3 linked regions of the Rhinolophus ferrumequinum genome follow. The protein of the gene in region 1 interacts with the protein of each later gene in a pairwise test. Links are inferred from orthologs where the notes say so. Each region holds a gene or a part of one and is shown in the gene's direction. Other genes may lie near its edges.

Region 1 (7,947 bases):
CCAGGGAAAAACACTACGGGCAGAATAGGCAGCACTAGTCAGTCATTTCCCAGGAAACTGCATCCGGCTGAAAGAGCAGATAGCAGTAGAGCTGTGCTAGGGACTGAACTGTGTCCCCACCAATCTCTGTGTTGAAGACCTAACCCTCAATGTGATTGTATCTGGATACGGGACCTTAGGAGGTAAAGGTTACGTGAGGTCATAGGGGTGGGGCCCTGATCTGATGGCACTGCTGTCCTTATAAGAAGAGAGAGAGAAATCTCTCCACGGGCACTCACTGTGGAAAGACCACAGAGGACAGCGAGAAGGCAGCCGTCTACAAGCCAGGAAGAGAGGTCTCACTAGAAACCGAATCAGCTGACACCTTGATCTTGGACTTCCCAGCCTCCAGAGCTGTGGGAAATAAATGTTTATTGTTTAGAATCCACCTGGTCTGTGGTGTTTGGTTACAGCAGCCCGAAGTGACTCAGCCACATCCTGCTTTTCCTGGGCAGCCTAATCCTGACAAAGATGATTTTTATATCAACCAAGACTCATTGAGTACCTACTGTGTGACAAACGCTGTGCAGGGAATGAAAAAGAGTAAATCCCTGCCTTGTGGAGCTGACACCAGCGGGGATAATAAGCACATAAATGGAAATACAAAGACAGATATTATTATAAAGAAAAATAGAGAAGGGTGACTGACAAGGGTGTGGGCTATTTTAGGTAGGTCCATGGCCGCCTTTCTGAGAAGGTGACATCTGAGCTGGAGGAAGTAAGGTGATATCTAGAGAAAGACATTGCAAGACAAAGAGCACAGCTTGTGCAAGGGCCCTGGGGCAGGATAAGGCATGGCCTGTTGGAGGAAAAGTGCGGAAGCCAGCGTGGCTGAAGCAGAGTGAGCGAGGGGGAGAGAGGGCCGAGGTAAGGGTAGGTAGAAGACGGGGCTAAGTCAGGGAGGGCCTCGCGGGGAGGACTTGGGCTTTTATCCCAGGGAGGTGGGAGCCCTGGAGGGCTGTGGGCAGAAGAGGGGCAGGATCTGAGTCAGGTTTTAAAAGCTTGTCAGCTCAGCAAATGGAGGGATATTGGTCCTCCCTAGTCACGGCTGTCAGTCTCCACTCAGAATCATGCTTGGCACACAGTAGGTGCAATAAATATTTACTGAGGGAATGAATGGATAATAGCTCCATTTGGGAGTGTGGGGGGGGACCCAGAGTGGTAAAATCACACGGCCCCAGCTCACCCAGACAGATTATAACAGACCAGGGGCTGACCCAAGAGCTGGACAGCTGAGGTCCTGGCTCCGACAGGCCTATCAGAGGGAGTCCCCGTGCCCACACTGCGGCCACCTGTTTCCTCCCCTGCCTGTGATTAATGGCCACGCAGCCCCATCCATCACGCGCCAGCCAGCGACTGGCTCTGCCGGGAGGCCACGGGGCCCAGTGCTCATTTGTAAGCTGGCTGCGAGGCTGGTCTCAGCCGGTTGCTGACATGAGACAGATCCCCGCCTCAATTTGGCCTCAGATGTGGCCCTGAGAACCCCAGGGAAAGGCAAGACCAGGATGTGGACCCAAGGAGTTGGGGATGAGTGGGGGCTGAGGGGTGTGGAATGGCAGCTACCCAGAGAGTAAGATCTTGGAAAGCCCCAATTCCCCCCAAATTAATGACATAATGCAGACTGTTCCCTCCGGAGCTGCAGTGCTCCGCCCTGCCTTTCCCTTCCTGCCACGTTCTGTTCTTTCCACCCAGCCATCCCCAAAAGCTCCCGCGCAGTGGCCCAGCCTAGCCTGCCCGTCTCCTGGAGCTCAGCTTGGGCATCCCCCTGATCTACGGGCCTCCCGCCTTGCCTTCCCCCATTGCTACTACCAGCAACACCTTCTATCCCCGGCCCTGGCAGTCTCTCTCTGTTGCTCTAAACCAGGGCTTCTCAACTGGGGGGAGTTTTGCCCACCCCCACCGCCTGGGACACTCAGCAATTCTGCTTCTCAGGACTGGGTGGGAGGTGCTCCTGGCATGGAGTGGGTAAGGCCAGGGATGCTATTCAACACCCCACTGTGCCCAGGACGGTCCCACTCCAGAGAACGATGCAAGCCAGCATGTAAAGAGTGAAGACAGAAATCCTCCTCTAAAACCTCCCCTGGCTCCCCAGTGCCCTCCAGGTAAAATCCTATCTCCTCATCCAGAAAGCAGGCCCTGTAGCATGCTGGCCCCCAAGCCCTCTCCAGCCAGTATCCCCCATACCCACCTCAAGCCCCATCCGGAGGGGCAGTAACGCATACTGGTCAAGCGCCCAAGTACCTGGGTTCACATCCTAGCTCTGCCACCTACCAGCTGTGTGATTTTGGGCAAGTCACTAAACTTCCCAGTGCCTTGATTTCTCCATCTTTAAATGTCATAATGGCAGTACCTAGGGTTAAAATGCTTAAGGTAGGGCCTGGCACATAGTAAACACATATACAGGTGGGTTAATTTACTTTATTCATAGGTTGGGTCACACTTCTGGGCTTTGCCACATGCCAAAATTTCAGTAATTTTCCTGAAAATTACTTTTTCCCGATTACTCTCCTTCAAAGGCAAAGCCCTGAGTCCCCCACTGTGGCCTAGTCCTGACCCCACTGTGCTGGGGGTATGTGTGTCCAGCTCTGGGGTCTGTTAACACAGGAGTTTTTGGTCACCGAGTGCCTGCCCAGGTGAGAGTCAGACGCAGGTGGCCTCCCAGGAGAATGGGTGTCTGGTCCCCGTGGTGTGTGTGTGGGGGGATGTTGGGGGCAGGGCCAACTTCATGGGCAGGTGACTCATGCACTCATAGCGGACCCCATGCTCTCCAAGGAAGGACCCTGAGCTTGGTTTAACGCTCTGTTGCCACCATATTGAAATTCCTAATCATTTTTGAACAAGAGGCAATGCATTTTCATTTTGCCCTAAGCCCTGAAAATTCTGTAGCCTGTCCCAATTGGGGACTCTCGTGTGATTTGTGGGGCCTGCGCATTCCACAACTCTACAGGAATATTGAAGAGCTTTCCAAACTTTGCTCCTTTTCTCTTACAGCGTCAGGACTAGAAAGGCCCTGCATTTTGGTTAACTCATCTCCAGCTCATTGGATCCTGTCTTTATTTAAAAGGCTGACATTTTGCTCATTATGCATTTTTACTTTTTATTAAATTTATTGGAGTAACATTGGTTAATAACATTATATAAATTTCAGGTGTACAACATTATAATCCGCTATCTGGACACTCTATGTGTGCTCACCACTTGAAGTCTAGTCTCCTTCCATCACCGTGAATTTTTTTGGCATCAGTTTTTATTTATAAAAATAGTGCTTTAAAGTATTATTTATCTTGAAGGATATTTTTAATTTTGTTTTGTTTTTAGGGTGAGGGGGGTCTTTAAATTTTGTTTCTTCATCTCACCCTCGTCCTGGCCCCTCATCTGCCCGGGAAAAGTGACCAGGGTCCTAACTTCCCATTTTATAGATGGGAAAACCTAAGGCTCCAAACAGTTATTCATCTGGAGAGGGCTGCAGAGCTGGTGTTGATGACATGAGAATTAAGAGGCTGTGTATGTAACACTTGCCAGGGGTTAATGTGCATGATTTCAACAGCTTCCTTGAGGCCTGAACTCCACATGGCAGCGAGAGAGAATCTATCAAAATCTGAGTCCGGTCCAGCCCCTCCCCTGCCTACAGCCCTCTGTGGCTCCCACCACGGCTGGGTAAAATCTCAAGTCCTCCCTGTGGCCCACAAGGCCCTGCACCATCTACAGAATTTGCAGTCCCAATGCAAACCGAAACTTTGAGGCCCCCTTGATCAAAAATAATTAGGAATTTCCAGACCACAACTGTAGATCAGGAACCCAAGCACAGGCTCTTCTGGGAGCAGGGCCCGTTTGAATGCTGGAAGCTGCTGGCCCTGCCTCCCTGCCCTCATTTCCTCCCAGGCTCCTCCGAGGAAAAAATGGGGCTGCCTCCAGGCCTTTGCATTTGCTGTTCCTGCCTCCTTGAATAAGCCACCATACCCCATACCTCTGTTGGCTCCCTCTGTCACCTTCAGGTCCTCTTTGCAGGCAAGGAGGCCCTCTCTGACACCATCTCTGTTTAAAATGGCACCTTCCTGGTCCTCCCCCTGGTCTATTTTCTCCATAGCTGCTACTACCCTCTGACCTGCCAGAGTTTGGGCTTGAGTATTTGTCTCTCGCCTGTCTCAAGTCGTCTCCACCAGGGTGGATACTTTGTACATCCCCAACCCACACCCACATCCTGGAGCAGGGCCTGGCACACAGTAGGCGCTCAATAATGTGTTTTGGAGGAATGGCTCCCAGGAGGCCAGCTGTATGACCCCCGCTGTTCTGCAGAAGAGGAAACCAAGGCTCAGAGAGCACAGCCAGAGAGCCAAGGTTACAGAGCATGTCCCTGGCACGCGTCCAGGTCGCGCCATGACAGTGCCGGCGGTTTAGATGGGGGCCGCCAGGCCCCTTTCTTTGACAGATAGGGAAACCGAGGCCCAGGCGGCCGCTAGGGCCACCCAGCCCGGAGGGGCGGCGTCCCGGCGCGCCAGGCGGGGGCTGAAGCCCCGGGCGGGGGCGCGCCGGGCCCAAGGTCACCGCGCCGGCGGCCCGCGGGAGGCGGGCTGGGTGGGGATCCGCAGGCCTCCCCGGGCGCGCGCCCCCCCCTCGGCGGCGCGCACGGGGCCCAGGCTGCAGCGGCAGCGGCAGCAGCAGCAGGTGGAGCCGGAGCTTCCGCGCAGCCGAGGCCGCAGCCACTGCCGGCGTTGCCGCCATTAGACAATAGGAGCGGCGGCCGGGCGTGCGGGGAGGCGGGCGGCGGGAGGGGCGGGGAGGGGCGCCGGGCGCGCAGGAAGCGGGGCCCGGGGCGCGCCGGGGCCGGGCGCGCAGGGAGGGGGCGCAGGAAGCGGGTGAGGCCGGGCGCGGGAGGCGGCGGCAGCAGCCCCGGGAGCTGCCGATCGGCGCCGGGACAAAGGCGCGACCGCCCGGCGCCCCGAGCCGCCCGAGCCGGGGCGCACAGCCGGGGCGCAGCCCGCGCCCCCCGCGGCGACTGACATGATGTTTCCACAAAGCAGGCATTCGGTAAGCGGGGACCGCGGCCCGGCGTCCCCCCCCCCCAGGTCTGGGCCCTGCGCGTGCCCCAGCTCCTGGCCGGGCCATTTCCCCCCATCCGCTTTCGGCCCTGCGGCCCCCCAGATCCGCACCTGGCACCCCCACTCCGGGTCCGAGCCCTGCGCCCCCCAGTTCCCCGCCGGGCCATCCTCCCCCCAGATCCGAGCCCTGCCATGCGTCCCCCCCCCCAGGTCCCTCCTTGCTCGGCACCTCCCCCCAACTCCAGGGCCCGGTCCCCTCCAGCTCTGGGCCCAGCGCTGGTCTTCCCTCCCACTGTAGCTCCTTGTCCCCCTCCAGCTCCCGGCCCGGACTCCCCCAAGCTTCAGGCGGGGTCCTCTCCAGCTCCCGGCCCGACTCCCCCAGTCCCTGGGCCCTGCGGCCCGCCCCCCACCAAGCCAGGCTGGGCCTGGGCAGCCTTGGCCTCGGGCCTGGGGCTCCCCGGGAGCCCCACCAGGCACCTCTAACGCCGGGGCTGCTTTCGGGGCCTGGGAGTGGGGGTTGATCCGAGGTGCATCTCTCCCGGAAGAGAGCGGCCTGTTGGGAGGGTACTGGGAATCTGGGATGGAGCCCCCACGGAAAATTTCGGGCGCTGAGAGGGCCCTCTCTTAAAGGACTTTGCAGAGAGACCTCGCTACCCCCCACTTGGGGACGGGGACTCCCTAGGACACGTTGTCCCCTCCCCGAGGCACTTGGGGCGCTCCGATGTGCACCCCCACCGGAGCATTGGAGCGGCGGTAGAGGGCGCACCCTGCCCCCCACCAAGGGCGGGCCTTGAAACGCACCCCCACAGCCTGGGGGTGGCGGGGGACGGAGCGGCTCCAGGCGCACCCACCCCCTCCACTTCCCCGGGAGAGGCGGGGGCAGGAAGCGAGGGCGGGGGCCGCGCCAGGGGCTGTAAACAGGGGCCCGGGAAATGGGGCAGTGTCGGGGGGGCGCTGCCGCTGCCCTGGCCGCTGCCTCCCGGCGCCCAAGAGGGAAGTGAACGGCCGACCCGGCGGCCCAGCCCTGACCCGGGACGCCCCCTCCTCGCAGGGCTCTTCGCACCTACCCCAGCAACTGAAATTCACCACCTCGGACTCCTGCGACCGCATCAAAGACGAGTTTCAGCTGCTGCAGGCTCAGTACCACAGGTGAGCTGGGGTCAGGGGTCTGTACCCCGGGAGAAGGTGGAGCCCCCTGCGCAGTTGGCTAGAAGGGTGGAGGTGGCGGCCCCTGCTTTGTATATGAGTACTTGAAAAAATATATGTATTTTCGTAGTGCAAATTGTATGGCAGGCACTGTCCTGAGCACTTTATCGGTATTAAAATCGTTTAGTCTTCCAAACAGCCAATTTCACAGGAGAAAAAGGAGGCAAAAAATTAAATGATATGCCTAAAGGCTCAGCTGTATGGCTTCAGAGGGCCGCTTCCCACCCCCACCCCAAGCCCCACATGATTAAAAACCTCCCAACAACTGGATTTGGGGGATAGATCCCCATACCTACCAAAATTAAAAATAATCGAAAAAAATTGCCCCAAAGACAAAGTTCTGCAGCCTGTTAGCCCTCTCTGCCCAGTTCTGGGGAAAGGGTTCCTGGTCCAACTATCTCAAGCATGGTTGTTCCAGAATTTAACATTTCCAAAGGGCTTGCCATGTGCCCTGATCTAAGGGGAACAAACTGTTATTACCTACGTCTTATCCTTGGAGAAACTAAGCCCAGAGAGCTTAGGGATTCCTAGGGGATGCACAGCAAGGAAGTGGCAGCAGACCTGAGATTTGCACCCAGTTTCTGAGTTGAAGAATGCAAATTCTCAAAGGCCCTGCTATGGAGGGGATCAGTAGGGGTCCCTGCCCACCAATTTCAGGGAGGTCTTGGGCTGTCTCTGAACCTCAGTTTACCCACGTAAAAAGATCTTGGATTTTCTTCAAGAAGAAAAGGGGAGTACGGATGTATATTCTTTCTTTTCTTTTTTTTTTTTACCATCCAACCTCTTGGGGTACTTCCCATGCTCCCCAAGTGTTAAATACTGAACATCTTTTGGTTTAATCTTCCTTGCTGTCTTATTATTGTGCCCATTTCAAAGATGAGACAGAGACGCTGATGGTGGAAGGGCAGGCCCAGGAACTTTGTTCTGGTCCTGTGATGTGGAGGGTTAGGGGCTTTGCCTGGCAGAGCTGGCCTTTCTGAGCCCCTGCAGTGGGTCCTCCCCTCCATGCCTGGTCCATGCCCACTTCACAGTGAGCACTGGGGCTGCCAATCCCTGATCATTGGTGAGAGTGTTGTTACAGTGCTGTGTGTCCTCGGGTAGGCCAGCCCCCTCCCCCCCCCGAGCTTTGGGGTCTCCATCCACTGGGCCTGGGCTTCCTACTCTACAACGAAGAGTCCTACCATGTTGGCACACAGGATCTGCCAGACCCTCAAAAAAGGCCAGAAAGCCAGAGTTTGGGATGAAATTCCTTGTCTGTTCTTTCTAATGGTGGCAACAAATGCACATTTTTTAAAAATTAGAGAAAAAAACTCAAGGGGTCACGTCAACCCCAGCTGTGACTCATCTGTGAACTGGGGTGTACAGTTATGGTCAGTCTAGCAGAGTGAAACACCAGGTTCCTGGGGTGACCAAGAGAGCAACAAGAATTTATTGGGTGCTTACTATACGCCAGGCGGTATTCAGAGAGGATTTCTGGTCTTAATTCATTTCATCCTCATCACCTGACCCCGGGAGGTTGGTATAGGAGGTTGGTACTTAACAGGCACGGAGACCAAGGCCAAGAGGGGTAGAAGGGTTTGCTCAGAACCACACAGCATCAAAGTAGCAGGGCTGAACTTTGAACCCAGTCGGTATCTCTTGAGTCTGTGCTGTCAGCTCTCTC
Region 2 (7,379 bases), on another chromosome or scaffold:
AACTAACAAGTATGTTTCAACATTAAGCCTTACTTTCTCTTAACTGTGCTTAACAGAAAACTACTGAGATTGAAGTCATGCCTCACTGAGCTTGAAACCTTAAAACCACTTAAGTCACAGAATTTTTTGAGACCTTTTATGTTCTAATGAATTGTATCCTAAAAAGATGGAAAGTGAAATGCAGGCTCGTAGATAGGTAATAAGCCTAAAATAGTGCATATTTATTAAACGTTCTATGTAGACACCTCATTATCTACATACTCTAGACAATTCTTTCATCTTTCTGAAAAACGCTGACAGAATTTCTTCCTGCTCAGTCCCTCTGTCCCCCATGACTGAGCCTGGGCATGCGAAACATGACAATCCCACTTTGCTTGGTAAACAGTACCACTCAGATCCCTTTCAAAATCTGAACTCCAGAGTCGGTCTTCTCTTGTATTGTCAGCCAAGAGTGGTTAGACTTATCTTGATTATCAATTAACTTCAACTTGGAAAGTACTTAAGAAAGAATTTCAAAGTTTTAACTTTAGGATATGAATTTTATAATCATTTGGAGTCATTTTTCTTCCAAACTTATTTCAATTGAAAATTGTCAATTTCAGTTGAAAATTGCCTGTGTTTGTACCTCTTGTCTTACCATCTGTTTATTTCCAAAACCTGGAGAAAACTCACCACCTAGAAATGGAGTCTACACAGCTAATCTCTGGCTTGAGTTACTAGGTGAATTAAACAAGAGAAAGCAAGACTTCTAACTTTCCAGTTGTACTAATTAAGCTTTTTAAGACAACTAAGTGACTTGAAAAAAAACCAAAAACCAAGTCTCAACTCCTTTATAATAGAAAAATATAGTGTGCATATTAATAGTGTTAGAAAGTTATTTTTACTTTATGTAAATTTACATTATGTAAATTAATTATATCTGCAGATAAAAACACTTGATTGACATCTCCAACTTTATGAATCGGAAAGTGAGATGATAAAAGGAAATCCAATGTACAGAAGTCAATTTTGCCAAGTAAGGTACACCTGTAAACGCAACAGAAGTGAAAACTAGAAAAATTTAAAAGCAAGGACTCCTTAGTCCTCTTAACTGGCTAAATGTGACTCAGGACGAACAGATAGCCAAGATGAACACTGCTATGACTACAGCAAGAGAAAAAGGTTGCACACAGGACATCAAAACATTGGCCTCAATTAGAATGCTAGCTAATTGAAAAAATAACCGGCCACAAGCAACTTCCAAAATAACATAATAAAGATATATTCACTCTTCTGTTAAAAATGTTTAATGCCATAGTAATAAATGACTGCTCCTCCGCAGGGGAAAGGGGAGGCCCCATTCCCAGGATTTAGGTCCAAGGAGAGGAAACACACTTGAAACTCTTCCTCCCCACGCCCCAACAGAAGCACGATGCACAGTAGCCAGGGGCAGACAAACCAGTTTCTAAAGATAAAAACCCTCCCAGTGAAAGATAGTCATCAAACCACACAAAAAAAGACACACTATTATTAGTTACATTTCTAAAAGCTACTTCAGATTAGTGATAAGAAAAAAGGAGAGTATGTAATTGAAACGTTTTAAGAGACTTGGAAAGCCTCAAACTAAACTGACATCGAATTAAAAACAATGTAGAGTAACCCTGAGCTAGGAGGTAAGATTTTTACTCGTACTGTCACCAAAATTCCACACAGCACAAACTAGGTACCCGGTTTTCATTGAATTCAATAATTACCTACTAAATATTTACTACAAGCAAGCCTCTGTTGTACTAATGTTGATTCTTTCCTCCGGCTGCCATCTCCTTTGTCCTTCTCTTCTAATATGAGAGCATCAAGTTTTAAGGAGTCCATTGTGACCTGTTATCAGAGCTCTCAAAATAAAGACAGTTGAACTTCAGAATGGAAAAAATCTGCAGAAAGGCCTCTAGTTTTCTCATTTTCCAGTGGCCTCTAAAGCAAAGGTTTAATTATCATTTAAAACATGGCTTAAATGTTCACCACAAGGAAGAGAAGCTCAGTAAGTGTTCCTTTCTTATTGACAATCTTACTGCACCCCTATTGACAGAATTGAACAGAAACTTTCATTCCTACCGCACATGCGGGCATAAAAGTTTTAATTATCAACTCCAACATCATTCGTATTCCAGGAAAAAAAGCACTGAGAGATGTTAGCATGCTGGAGGTGAGAAGCAGCAACCGTTTTACTGGTTGAGACTGGAGTTTCATTTCAGATATTAACTCACAAAGTTGAATACACAGAGAGAAAGGAGAGCAGACAGGAAGGGGTAGCAGAAGGCTAAAGCCAAGATTATTCGGGGTCCCAATAAAGAGGTTGTTCTGCAGCTGTTTGAGAATTTGGCGTTACAAACTACTTTCTTGGGCCAGAGAAAAACTCCTTAAATTGCTGGAACTTTACCAAAATATCAATCACAGCAGCCCCTGGGACTCATTTGGTAAGGCAGGACTTGCAGGCACCGTAGCCTCTATAGACACAATACACCATGGTTCAAGCAAGTCTTGCCAAGTTTTAACCGTGGTGAGGAAAGTGTGATTATTTTGCTATATTCTTGAGGTAAATGCATTCCCTTAAAATAGTAAGGAAAACCTCTTAGAGGTTGATGGTTAGGTCAGTTTTGAAATACCAATGGGGTCATTTTTTTAAGAATAAAAATGGGGTAGGGAGAAGTATCATTTACATACGACAAAATTCACACTTTTCAGGGTCCAGGTCTAAGTTTTGACACAGGTGTATAGCTGGGTAACCACCACCATAACCAAACTACTGTCAGGTCCATTGTCAAAAGGTTAACTCTTCCAAGGCTCCTAGTAAAAGCAAAATTAAACTGTCCATATACTTTATAAATTTATTTTTGCTTTTGAAACATCACCGTCTTCATTTGGAAAAGCAAAATACCCTTCAAGTGATCCTAAATGTGTCAACACACCGCGGGCGTGAGGCCCCCCGCAGCAAGTGGCGCCCGACAGTAATCCTCTCCTTTTCCCCAAGTGGCAGTCGGAGAGGCAGAGCTGCGTCGCCAGGCTGGAGCCACGAGGAGAAAGAGTTTAATGCCGGAATGACAAACTCCAAAGCACTGAATTCTTCTCCCTAGTAGGGCACGAAGCGTGTGGAAGATGGCCAGGGCGCGTGGGAAGAAAGATGACCTATTTTCAACGACTGTTTTCATAACTGGAAAGTGAGAGAAGCAGGGGCTAGTCCTCGGGCACCCCGGGGCACCCCGGCGGGCACCTGAGATTTGGAGAGAGGAACATAAAGCCACACACAGCCTTCACCCAAGCAGCGGGGTGACGACGGGAAGAAGGAAGGAAGCGAGAGCGCGAGCCGGCCGCACGCTGAGCCGAGCCTACGAGCGCCAGGGAAAGGGGCCCGGGCCCCACCCGGTGGACGACGAGGGGCCCGGCGCTCCCTGCACCTGCCACCACCTTGGGCGGCGGGCGGAGCGGGGACCGGAGCGTTGGGCTCCAGAAGAACACGCGGGGCAGCGGCGAGTGCGCCCCCGTCCCGGCAGGGCCGGAGGGCAAAGGCCAAGCGGCACCCTCCGACCCCACCGGGTCGCCCATACCCCGCCCTCCCCTCCGGGCCCCAGGGCGCCACCGCCTAGCACACCCCAGGCCCGCAGCGGCCAGCGGAGCGCGGGCCGGACCTCGGCCGAGGGATGCCGGCCAGGGCTGGGGGCAGCCTCTCAGCGCTCGGGAACGACGGCGCGAATCTGGCCCGCGGGCCGCGCGCGCGGAGGGGCCACCGCCAGCACTCACCTGCCCGCTGGTCCCTTCGCGCAGCCGCAGCGGCACCACACTCCGGGCCAGACCCACCGTCTGCTTCAACCAAGCCCCAGGCAGCAGCGGCGGCGGCTGCGGCCGGACGGGAGGGGCGGGACCGCGGCCTGAGACGGCCCGCCGCCGCGGCCCAACCCGGCTCCGCCCGCCCCCGGGCCCCGCCCCCGGGCCGCCGCCGCCGCCGCCGCCCATTGGCCTCCGGCTCATAGGCATGGGCACGGCCCCGCCCCACCGCCCCCCTACCGTTGAGCTCGGGCTCCTCCCCGGCCATTGGGCCAGAGGGCTCCTGGGCCCGAGCGGCCGGCTCGGCCCCCGCCAGCTCAGGGGCTACAATTGGTGGGGCTACGCCACGCCCGGGCGCTGATTGGAGAGTGGGCAGCCCCGGGCCCCACCTCTCGCGTCCAAGTTCCGTTAGCAGGTTCGGTTGCTCCCGAATTTCCTTTGCCCCGGAGGCGGGAACTATGGGAGGGGTCCTCTGTCAGGCTCCTCCTCCTGAGGGGAGGGGCTGAAAGGAGACTGGCTGTTCTTTCCTCCTTTGAGAGCTCTACTTTCTTCTGATTGGTTCACAGGCGACTCCCGTCGCGTGTTTTCCGTCGCCGACGCAGCGCGATGACGTAGTTCCCCGACATCCCACGTCCAAGATGGCCGCAGTCGGCAAGGAGAGACGTAGCTAAGGGGCTTGCCTGAGGCGAGGGTGAGTGACCCACGGACCACTGGTAGCGCCGCCCACCGCCCCCGCCGCGTACCTGGAGGTCGGAGTAGGGCTTGGCCAACTGTCTCCATCCGCTGGCGGAGTCTCTCTTCCTGGATTCCGCCTCCCTCGGCTACCCCCGGTGTAGATCGAAGTTAGCGGGCGATGGCGGGACTGCGGGACGGGCTTCGGGAGAGGGTTTGAGGCGCAAGAGCGGAGGAAGGAGTCCGGCGCGTACCCTAGGAACAGGTAGCGGCTCTCTCAGAGAGGGACGGCTAGAGTTCGGGGACTTTGTAGCAGGTGGTGAGAAGGGGCAGGGGTCTTAACGCGCGCGCACATTCTGCCGCACAACCGCTGCCTACCCACATCTTCCCAACTACTTTGCAGTGTCTCGGTCCCAACCTTGGTTAGACCTGAGACTTTGGGTATTGTTCCACATCTGGCGTACTCCGGCTTTGGCGTCTGAAGAGCCATGTAACAAGGGTGGGACTAGGAATGAGGAAAAGGCACTTCCGCGATTAGATTCGTTTTTACCGAGACATCGTTCTTACCGGCCCTCTTCTGGGTTGGTTCGCTTTGTTACTAAAGGAATTGTTCTTCAGAAAGTTGAGGCGTTAGTATCGAAGTTCTCTGAAGGCTCTTCAGCTATTACCAGCACAAAGCATGGTCGGTAACGCTTCCTAAATTTGGATTGCCAGTTAAATGGAGCTTTCGCGAAATCGTCTGACGTTAGAAACTTCTGAGAGCAGTTAGCTTGCGGGTGGCCTTTTATGTTTTTAAGGTAAGCTCTAAGGCTCCTTAGAGATACTTAGCACAGTGCCTTGCAGTTGTAGGCACTCATTAAAGGTTTATGTGAATGGTATTGCTAGAATGAAAGCTCCGTGAAGTGCCTTTTGTATCCCCAGCACCTAGAGCTGAATGAAGAATGGGTGATTATAGTAGTGGTATTGGTAGACTGATCGATTTTGTTCTTCAGATGCTTTCTTGTTAAATAATCTTGACTATAAATGTAATAATTTTCCAGGATTGTGTTTTGTTTATTTTCCAATGTGACTATCAGAGGTGTCTAATTTTAGGGGGTGTTTTTTGTCTCATTGTGAATGTATTCATTTTTTTCAAACATTGCTTGATTCACGCATAAAGCATGTTTAATATTTGTTTCATTTTGAAAACATAGTTTGCACCAACAAGGAATAAAGAAACATTCTAATTGCTAAGGAGATCCTTAAACTGTAAATGCCATTTGTAAAAATTGAACATCATAAAGAAAAAAATTGATCATATTTTTGGCCTACGAAATGAGCTACAGTCATGCTACCATTTGACCCACATAACGACGTTTCGGTCAAGGATGGACCTAGTGTACAAGTGGTCCCATATATAGTGGAACTGAAAAATTCTTATCACTAGTGACATCGTAGCTATCGTAATGTGGTAGCACAAGGCATTATGGCCTTGTGGTGATGCTGGTGTAAACCTGTGCTGCCCGTTGTATGAAAGTATAGCAAATACAATTCTGTACAGTATAGTACATGATACTTGATAATAAATGACTGTTACTGGTTTATGTGCTTACTAAACTGTACTTTTTATTGCTATTTTAGAGTGTACACTGCTAAAAAAAGTTTGCTGTAAAACAGTATGCTTGTTACGCCATACATCATGTTTACTGCGTCTCTTGGTTCCATCATTTTCTCCATTGCATCCCATATCTTGATTGCATCTTTTCTCTTGTGCTTGATTTCATCTCATTTTGTACCGTAGCTTGCTGTACAGGCTTGTAGCACAGGTACAGTAGTCTATACCATATAGCCTAGGTGTGCAGTAGGCTATACAACCTCGGACTGTATAAGTGCACTCTGTGATGTTCGCACAACAACGAAATCATCTAACGACATATTTCTCAAAGCATATTCCCATCCTTAAGTAGCGTGGGACTGTAGTTCATTTCTGCAGGTTATGTTGGAAAGCAGTGAGTTCACTGAGTATCTAGAAGGTAAAAAAATGTTTTGTTTGTTTTCTCCAAAACTGGGTAAGGACAAACAAATGAAGAAGACTTAAGTTCAGGGTAATTGTGGAGATTGTTAAGAACATTTAATTGGATTAAATCTCATTTGTATATTTAGGCTCAGATAAATTATATGCCAGAGAACTTGCAGATAAGATTGTAAAATCATTGTTTATAGCTTTAGAGGAATCCTAAAAGCATAGTGAATGATAGAAGACTGGAGTCTGGTCAATGTCTCAGTTTTTGCAGAGCAATTAGATGACTGCTGGATGCTAGAACCTGTTATTAATCCATTTTAGAATCTTGTTGGGGGAGCAAAAAGAGCATTTGTGCGTATTTGGGAAAGGAGAGCTGATTCCCTCAAACCAGCAGAGCTCCAGTCCAAAAAAAGCTGGGTGACACAAACCATGTTTCCTTTTGTTATAAATGTACTAGGTTGATAGTGGGTGGGCGCTGAGTTCAGTCAGGTTTCCTTCGGGCATTGAACATAATCTCTCTTCCTATCCCAGCAGACACAGATACACGTACACTGGATGAGGTCTAATTGGATGGATTTATATCCATTCAGACTACCAAACCCAAAATGTTGATTAATGACTTGATGTCAGCCTGAATGAAGAGAGGTCTTTAGAGATAGGCTCCAGGGCTCTAGTCTTGCTCTTACTCTGGTCAGCATTTTTTTTTTTATTACCAACTTTAAATATGTAAGAGGCATGCTTCTCAAAGATAGCCAGCATGTTAGATGACACTCAGGATTCAACGAGTTCTTACAGACTGAAATAGGAGGCCCAGATAAGATACAAATTTACCAAGAATGATTAAATTTACAAAAACGTTGTTGTCCTTGTTTGACATGAGAAAGACCTAACTTGACAAAAAATGGTT
Region 3 (7,489 bases), on another chromosome or scaffold:
CTTGGGTGTTTTGCTGCAGGAGGCTCAGGGATTGCTGGGCTGTCTCCCTTTTCCAGGTACAGACCTCCTGCAGGTGGCAGCCCATGAATTTGGCCATGCGCTCGGGCTACAGCACACCACGGCTGCAAAGGCCCTTATGTCTCCTTTCTACACCTTCCGCTACCCGCCAAGCCTCAGCCCAGATGACCGAAGGGGCATTCAGCACCTATATGGCCGGCCCCGGCCGGCCCCCTCTTCTAAGCCCCCAGCCCTGGACCCCCAGGCTGGAGTGGACACCAACGAGATTGCACCACTGGAGGTGAGGCACAGGAGGGTGGGAAGACAGGAGGTGAGGCCCTGCCCCAGCTACCCCCACCTGACTGGCCTCTGTGGCTCCAATGTGGGCTCTTTCCCGGCCCTCTCCCCCACCTCCCCTGCCCCAGCCGGAAGCCCCACCAGATGCCTGCGAGATCTCCTTTGATGCGGTCTCCACCATCCGTGGGGAGCTCTTCTTCTTCAAGGCGGGCTTTGTGTGGCGGCTACGCGGGGGCCGGCTGCAGCCTGGCTACCCTGCGCTGGCCTCTCGCCACTGGCAGGGACTCCCCAGCCCCGTTGATGCAGCCTTCGAGGATGCCCAGGGCCACATCTGGTTCTTCAAGGGTGAGTGGGGGCAGGGGGTCATGCTCAGATTTCCAGGAGCCTGGAATGTCATGGCCAGGGGTAGGGACAGACAGACAAATATAGGCAGGTAGAGGGTGCCCTGAAAGCTTGGGGCCACGGGAGAACAAGGCTCATTCCTCTGGGCACAGCTGGGAGACTTCTGAAGGCAATGGCTCTCAAGGTGGGAGTAGAATAGAAAGTACTGCACAGTGGGTCACACATTGGCCTCCAGCTCAGGTGGTGAAGTGACTCACCTGAGGGTATAACTTGAAAAAGGCAGAGCAGGGATTTGATCTAGGTCTGGCGACTGTAAAGCCTGTGCTGTTAACTTACAACTGCATTAGGGAGCATTCCAGGTGGCAGGGACTTCATAAACAAGGGTCCACCTAAGACCTGTGGCAGGGACCAGGGCTGAGCCCCAGGGGGTGGTGAGCAGTCAAATGCCCGGGGAAGGAGTGGGAGCCCAGGTGCCTCTCTGCTGCTGAGAATTACCTTTCTACGTGGTACCTTCCAGAGCCTGTACTGCCCCAGCTTATCCCTGTTGGCTCCAACTTCCCCTGGGGTGGGGGCGCCAAGCAGGATAAGGAAACTGAGGCTGGGAAAGTCCTGGTGGTGGTGGCAGCTGGGCAGGGCCATTGCAGCCTCCCCTCTCCACAGGCGCTCAGTACTGGGTGTACGATGGTGAGAAGCCAGTCCTGGGGCCCGCCTCCCTCTCTGAGCTGGGCCTGCCAGGGTCCCCGGTCCACGCAGCCTTGGTCTGGGGCCCTGAGAAGAACAAGATCTACTTCTTCCGAGGCGGAGACTACTGGCGCTTCCACCCCAGCACCCGCCGTGTGGACAGCCCCGTGCCCCGCCGGGCAACCGATTGGCGAGGGGTACCCCCTGAGATTGACGCCGCCTTCCAGGATGCTGACGGTGCGTTGGTGATAGGGCAGCTGGTGGAAGGGGTGTAGCAGGTGCGTCTTCCTCCCTGTGGTGGCTGGATGTCAGCTCTTCGTCACAGGGCCTTTGTCCAGCCCCCTCCCCATCCAGCCTCCTCCTTGTACCAGCGCTCGGTTATACCTTCCATGTTGTAGATGAGGAGCTTGAGGCCCAGACAGGAGCAAGGACTTGCCCAGGCCCCAGCCATGGCTGGTAAAATAATAACCACTGCACACACGACTGACAATGCTCCCGGCACCTAAGCTCCCTACCTGTCTCATGCAATTCTCTGACGTAGCACCTGTTAGGAACCCAGTTTGCAGAAGAGCAAACAGATTCAGGTGATGAGGTCCCTAGCCAGGGCCACCCAAGTGGATAGTGGGTAACCAGGAACCCCCACCCAGGCAGTCCCTGCTGAGCTGTCCAGCCTCCTATAATCTCCAAGGACTAGACTGGGGACTCATAGTCCATTGCCCTCACCTGTGCCCCCTTCCCCCTTTGCTTCTGTGCTTTCCCACACTGGGACCTGCTGGGAAAGCTGTCCTGTGGTGGTCTCAGGCTCTGGGGCTCCAGGTTGCCTCTATCACCCTCCATAACTCAAGATACCCATCGGTATCTGGCTGGTGGGTGTGGGAATAAAGTGAGGTAGAGGGAGGGGTGAAGAGGGAAACAGGACTTGCCTTCCTGAGATGTTGGAATTGGACGTCTGAGGCTCTCAGCAGCTGTCAGGCTGGGTCGTAGCCTAGTCCAGACTCTGGGCAGGACTCCCCCAAGGGAATGGAGCTTCTGGAAGGGCCGTCCTAAGGCCTGCAGGTTTCAAGGAACTCAGTGGTGGCCAAGCCTGCCCACCCGGACCTCCCCGTGCCCATCCCTAGGCATAGCCTGGTGAGCAGGTGAGAGGCCCGGTGTCCACTCACCCAGGCCTGACCCTCTTCTCTCCTCAGGTTACGCCTACTTCCTGCGTGGCCTCCTCTACTGGAAGTTTGACCCAGTGAAGGTGAAGGCCCTGGAGGGCTTTCCCCGCCTCGTGGGCCCCGACTTCTTTGGCTGTACAGAGCCTGCCAACACTTTCCACTAACCACTGCTTGGATGCCCTCAGGGCCCCTCACCCCTGCCAGGCCACTGACGTTGCCTAGAGACCCATGGCCATCTTTGTGGCTGTGAGCACCAGGCATAGGACAGAGCCTGTGGCTCCTCAGGGGGGTGGGGAGGGGTGGCTCCCACCATGACAAGTGCAGGAAGGGCCACGCAGGTCGTGGTCACCTGCCAGCAACTGTCTCAGACTGAGCAGGGAGGCTTTGGCATCAAGGGTGAGGGTGGTCTTGGACCGGTTCCACCCTACCTGTGCAGGTCACGGTCAAACCCGGCTGCCTTCGCTCTCCATCTTCGTCCCTCAGGAAAGGACCTCAGCAGGGCTGAGGGAGCTGGAGCCCTTGCTCTGTCCCTGATATGAGGTCCCTGCAGGGTGCTGGCACATGGATCCCGGGGCCACGTAGCCTTCTGCCCTTCCCTGAGAAGTCATTTCTGGGTAGGTGCTTGGAACTGGCTGCCTTCAGTTGGTGATCCTGGAGATCTGTTCCCCAAGATCCAGGCCAGAAGGTCTAGAGTCATCTGGGGACAGGGGTGCTCACTGCTGGAGACCCAGGGCCCTGGAGGCCCCAACATACCTCAATCCTGTCATGGGCCGAATCCTCTCCAGCCTTCATCCCAGCACTGAGACCCTCCAAAGCCATGTAAATGTGTGTACAGTGTGTACAAAGCATTTTCTTTCTTTTTTTTTTTTACGGAGAACTGTCATTAAACAGTCATTTTCTACCTGCCTGCCTGGGGTGTCTCTGTGATTGTGAGTCTAGGATGGGAGCTGTACCAGGGAAGTGGGAGACCCGGCTTGGGACCTGTTCTGTCCTCGGAACCAGGGTGGCAGTCCACCCCACCCCCAAGTCTCTGGTCTTTGGCGCTGGGTACTCTGTGTAGGGCCCCTCCTGCCCCATTCCTCCATCTCGTCTGTCTAGATGCGTGTAGTGCCTTCGTACTTGGTTCCCTGCTTCCCCGGCTTGCCCCTCAGATCATCCTCCCCTAAGCAGTGGTCACTTTATCTGATCTTCCAGGCCCAGCCCCTATCCCGTTGTCGTCAGGATACAGAACAAAACTCATGTTTACAACAGCTGACGCTTCCTAACAAGTGTCTCCTTGCCTGCCACCCAGCCCGGTGTATCTCCTTTACAGCTGCAATTTTTATTCGAAATTTATATGAAATCGGCAGCTGTGGGCCGGTTTTGACCTACTGCATTGTTCAACGGGAAACGTGGATGCTTTGATGCTTTCATTAATGTCATTCCCCACTCCCACAGGGCAGGGCTCTCTAGTTGCACTGCAGGGCTCGGCTTGTTGTCCGTACAAAGTGCAGAGTTAAGGACGGAATGGAGAAGGTTCCCTCCCTTCCAACACTCATCTGACGCACCAGCCAAACCAAATACCACCCAGATTGGAATCCTGCCAAGCCGTGTAGTCTTGGCCCATGCTAACACCGCCCTGTGTTGTCGTTCTGCCCATTCCTACAGCTGCAGGAACAGCTGCGGGCCGAGAATTGGGATATCTAGGAGTCCTCTTATCTGCTCAACTGCACCGTTTTTTCAGGGTGGGGAAACTGAGGCACACCTACTACTGGCCTCCTCACACCCTGCAGAGCTCACTTTGTTCCTCTTCCATTGCGTTGAGTTCCAGTCCTAGCTGTAGGACTGGGAACGCCAACGCCTGAGTCAGGGCCTCGATTGCTATTTCCACCTGAGAAGTCTTCCTTGGTACCGAGACTTGGGAGGAAGCCTGGGAGGAAGAGAAACGGATTTAGGCTCCTTTAAGGGACCCACGGGAGCGCGCCTTGGCCTTTTGTTTGGGTGGCGGTAGCGCGCGCGTCGGCGTCAACGCCCGCGCATGCGCACAGAGGGAGGCCTGGTCGTCGTCGCTGCGGCTGCTGAGGAGCCCGGCGGCGGCCGCGGCGGCGCGAGTACTTGGCCCGGACCGCCCTTTGCTTCCCGACTTCGGCTCCCTCGACTTGGCACGCCCCAGCGCCGCCTCAGCCCTCCCGATCCCTCGCAGCCCGGCTTTGGCTGCCTGCCTCCACCGCCGCAATGATGATGATGGCGCTGAGCAAGACCTTCGGGCAGAAGCCCGTCAAGTTCCAGCTAGAGGACGACGGCGAGTTCTACATGATCGGCTCTGAGGTAGCCCGCGGCGCGTCCTCGCCCTCCCGGGCCCCGGCCCCGCGGGAGCCTCAGGGCAGGTCTGCGCGTCGGGAACGCGCGTCTCCATTCATCGCGGCGAGGGGGTGCGCGCGCACGCGCGACGGGATGTGGCTTAGCAGGGCGTGGCCGGCAGGCCCCGCCCCGCGCTCCTCTGCGATTCTGGGTTTACTTAGCCATTTTGTGGTGGTGGGAACGTACCCTGTCGCCAGAACTAGGGCTCCCCGAGGGGCTGCTGGTTTCGTGCTGAGTTGGTACAACTCCAGACAGACGCAGACAAACTGGGTGTTACGGTTAGCCCCTGCGAAACACCCCGTTGGGGGTGATAATGTTGGAAATATCACGTGCGCCCCTCCCCCATTGCTACATCTGGGATCCTGAAATCGCCGGTTGTAAACATGGGGCTTAGTGAGGGCTCATCCTCATTGTGTTCGTTGCCTTTGAGGTGGGCAGGAGGTGTTTTGATCTTTGTTTACCAGGGAGGAAATAGGTTGGGAGGAGAATATTTGCTTTTGGGTGGATAAGGCCATCCTATTTCATTTGGGTGGATAAGGCCCCAGGTCCTGAGCTAGCTCTCAACAATTCAGAAGCAATTGACACTGTGGATATCTTGGACTAACTGAATTATTACAGGAGAAAGAGCCTAAAGATTTTTAATCCTGAACTAGAACTGATAGCACTTTGTTGAATCAGCTGGACCACTGACAGGAGGAAAACTTTTCAATGGTAGTTTGTACTAAGTATATTAAGTTTTTGCAGATTGCCTCAAACTAGCCCCTTTGGGTCTAAAGGCCATCCCCAGGTAGTGTATACTCCTTTTTTTTTTTTTTAATTATGGATATATAACTCAGATGTGCATATACCAAGCAGTAGAGTCTCTCATGTAATGAGGTAAGTGCTAATCTTGGAGAGCTAAATAAGTCCCAAAATGCCAAGCGCTGCCTTTCCCTGTAGTACTTTAAAGTATCAGACACCAACATTTCATTCCTGATTTTACAATTTTTGTTGTTTTTCTTCACAGCTGATCATAGCGTGAATGAATTACGCCTCATGATGGTCACACTGAGGCAATCACCCTGTGATTCCTGGCCAGTTATATCAAATTATGAGGCCAACATTGTCAGCATCAGAACTTGAGTGTTACCATTTTTCACCAATTTTTATTAAACAAAAAGGGCAGGATGCAATAATTTTTTCACATTATCCCGTAAATGCTGCTCTTCAAAGATAGCCATGCTGGGGAAGTGGAGTCAGTGCGTGTCTATCTGCCGTGGCTCAGAATGGTCCTCATCAGCCTAAGTGCAGGATATAGAAGACAGCTGAGTTTTAGTACGTGATAATGGGCAGATCGTTTAAATAAATCTTTACCTGGTCTAATGGGCAAGAAAAGCAATCAATTTGGTTTCGATTCTGAGTATGTGGTACCTCTGAAAAGCAAGCTTTCATTTATTAGGTGGAGCAAATTGAGAAGAAGCATGCAGCCAGGTGGGAAGAAGTCAGGAGGCCTGGTTCCAGCTCTGTTCTGCCTCCTTGTCACTTTTCTCATGTGTATAATGAGATGCTTAGACTAGATGACCTCTGAGATTTTCTCTGTAACACATTTTAGCTTCTAGAAAGTTATCTGCAGTCTTCTCTTTCAGCCCTGTTGAGTGAGACCATTGTCCTGCGACCGAGCCAGTAGAGACCTAGATGGGAGAAGGGAGAGGAGGTTTGCTTTCTGGAGCTTGGCTTAACAATTGTCAGACTTTTGGAGGTCTGGGAAAGGTTCAAGATCAGAATGCTGTCTATTGATGTCCAGTCGTTCCTGTGATAGCATTGGGTGCACGGCCCCCAGGCCCCTTCCCTTTGGGCAACAGGCCACTCAGAGAGGTGGGCCAGCCATAGCATCACACCCAGTGCCGTGGAGTGGCTTTGGGAAGACATCCGCAGTTGCAGTAAGTGTGTGTGACTGTTCTCCCGCCATCTGCAGGTAGCTGCATTCACCAAGCCAGAGTCATAGACCTGAGAGGACCTAGGGTATCCCCAAGTCCAACCTTCATTTCAGGCAAAAACTGGTTCAGGGAAAACCCAGGAAGGCAAACCCTGGTCTCCTCTATTCTGAAGGGGCCTTGGGAAGGCTCTAGGAGTCCCGGAGCTCCCCAGGACCTTCAAGGTAGTAGTGGGGGACACTATTGTTAATGTCTTTTCAAAACCTAATGGAAACTATACGTTTACCCTTGGATGGTAATGACACTCAAGCCAAATAACCGACAGGGGTCTGTGCCTTCTGTGTGGAGCACGATTGACTGGCTATGGTCACCTCTCACGCTGTTCAGCAGCTCTGGTTGTCGATCATGGAAATCTTTGATTCATGAAAAATGGAGAAATATTTTTATTAAATAAGTATACTATGTTGCGTAGGTAAATGGGACAATAATAGAAGTGGTCCTTTGTGTGGTCAACTTCAAAGTTGCTGTGCATTTGACAGATGAGTAAGGAGAGCCAGACTGGGGAAGTGATTCCTGGTCACAGGTGGAGACATCACCTGGCACCCAGTCAACTGGCTGTCTCCTGCCCTGTGATTCACATGGTCATTTTGGAAAAGTCAGTGAGACAATGAGGTTTCTTTATAAAAAACTTTAGGACGAGATTTTTTTTCTTTCCATTAAGGAAGTCATACTTTGAGTATTTGGTTCAAGCAAACTGAAGCT

The links. The genes of interacting proteins can lie anywhere in the genome.
Region 2: the proteins of TLE5 (region 1) and CCNK interact in binary tests that used the Homo sapiens proteins (3 or more experiments, as listed by UniProt). The two-hybrid records come from large-scale screens. The link is inferred for Rhinolophus ferrumequinum from reciprocal best matches to the Homo sapiens genes TLE5 and CCNK.
Region 3: the proteins of TLE5 (region 1) and SMARCB1 interact in binary tests that used the Homo sapiens proteins (3 or more experiments, as listed by UniProt). The link is inferred for Rhinolophus ferrumequinum from reciprocal best matches to the Homo sapiens genes TLE5 and SMARCB1.

The regions. Positions count from the first base shown.
Region 1 is NC_046301.1:60,175,277-60,183,223, forward strand, and holds the start of TLE5 (TLE family member 5), read left to right. Parts: upstream 1-4,910; 5' UTR 4,911-5,040; coding exon 5,041-5,067; intron 5,068-6,129; coding exon 6,130-6,227; intron 6,228-7,947. UniProt on the Homo sapiens protein: Transcriptional corepressor. Acts as a dominant repressor towards other family members. Inhibits NF-kappa-B-regulated gene expression. May be required for the initiation and maintenance of the differentiated state.
Region 2 is NC_046289.1:4,748,242-4,755,620, reverse strand, and holds the start of CCNK (cyclin-K), read left to right. Parts: upstream 1-4,374; 5' UTR 4,375-4,489; intron 4,490-4,506; exon of another isoform or gene 4,507-4,735; intron 4,736-7,379. UniProt on the Homo sapiens protein: Regulatory subunit of cyclin-dependent kinases that mediates activation of target kinases.
Region 3 is NC_046308.1:22,690,467-22,697,955, reverse strand, and holds the start of SMARCB1 (SWI/SNF-related matrix-associated actin-dependent regulator of chromatin subfamily B member 1), read left to right. Parts: upstream 1-4,484; 5' UTR 4,485-4,688; coding exon 4,689-4,781; intron 4,782-7,489. Other genes in the region: MMP11 (stromelysin-3), read left to right, coding at 57-298, 423-639, 1,297-1,554, 2,505-2,638.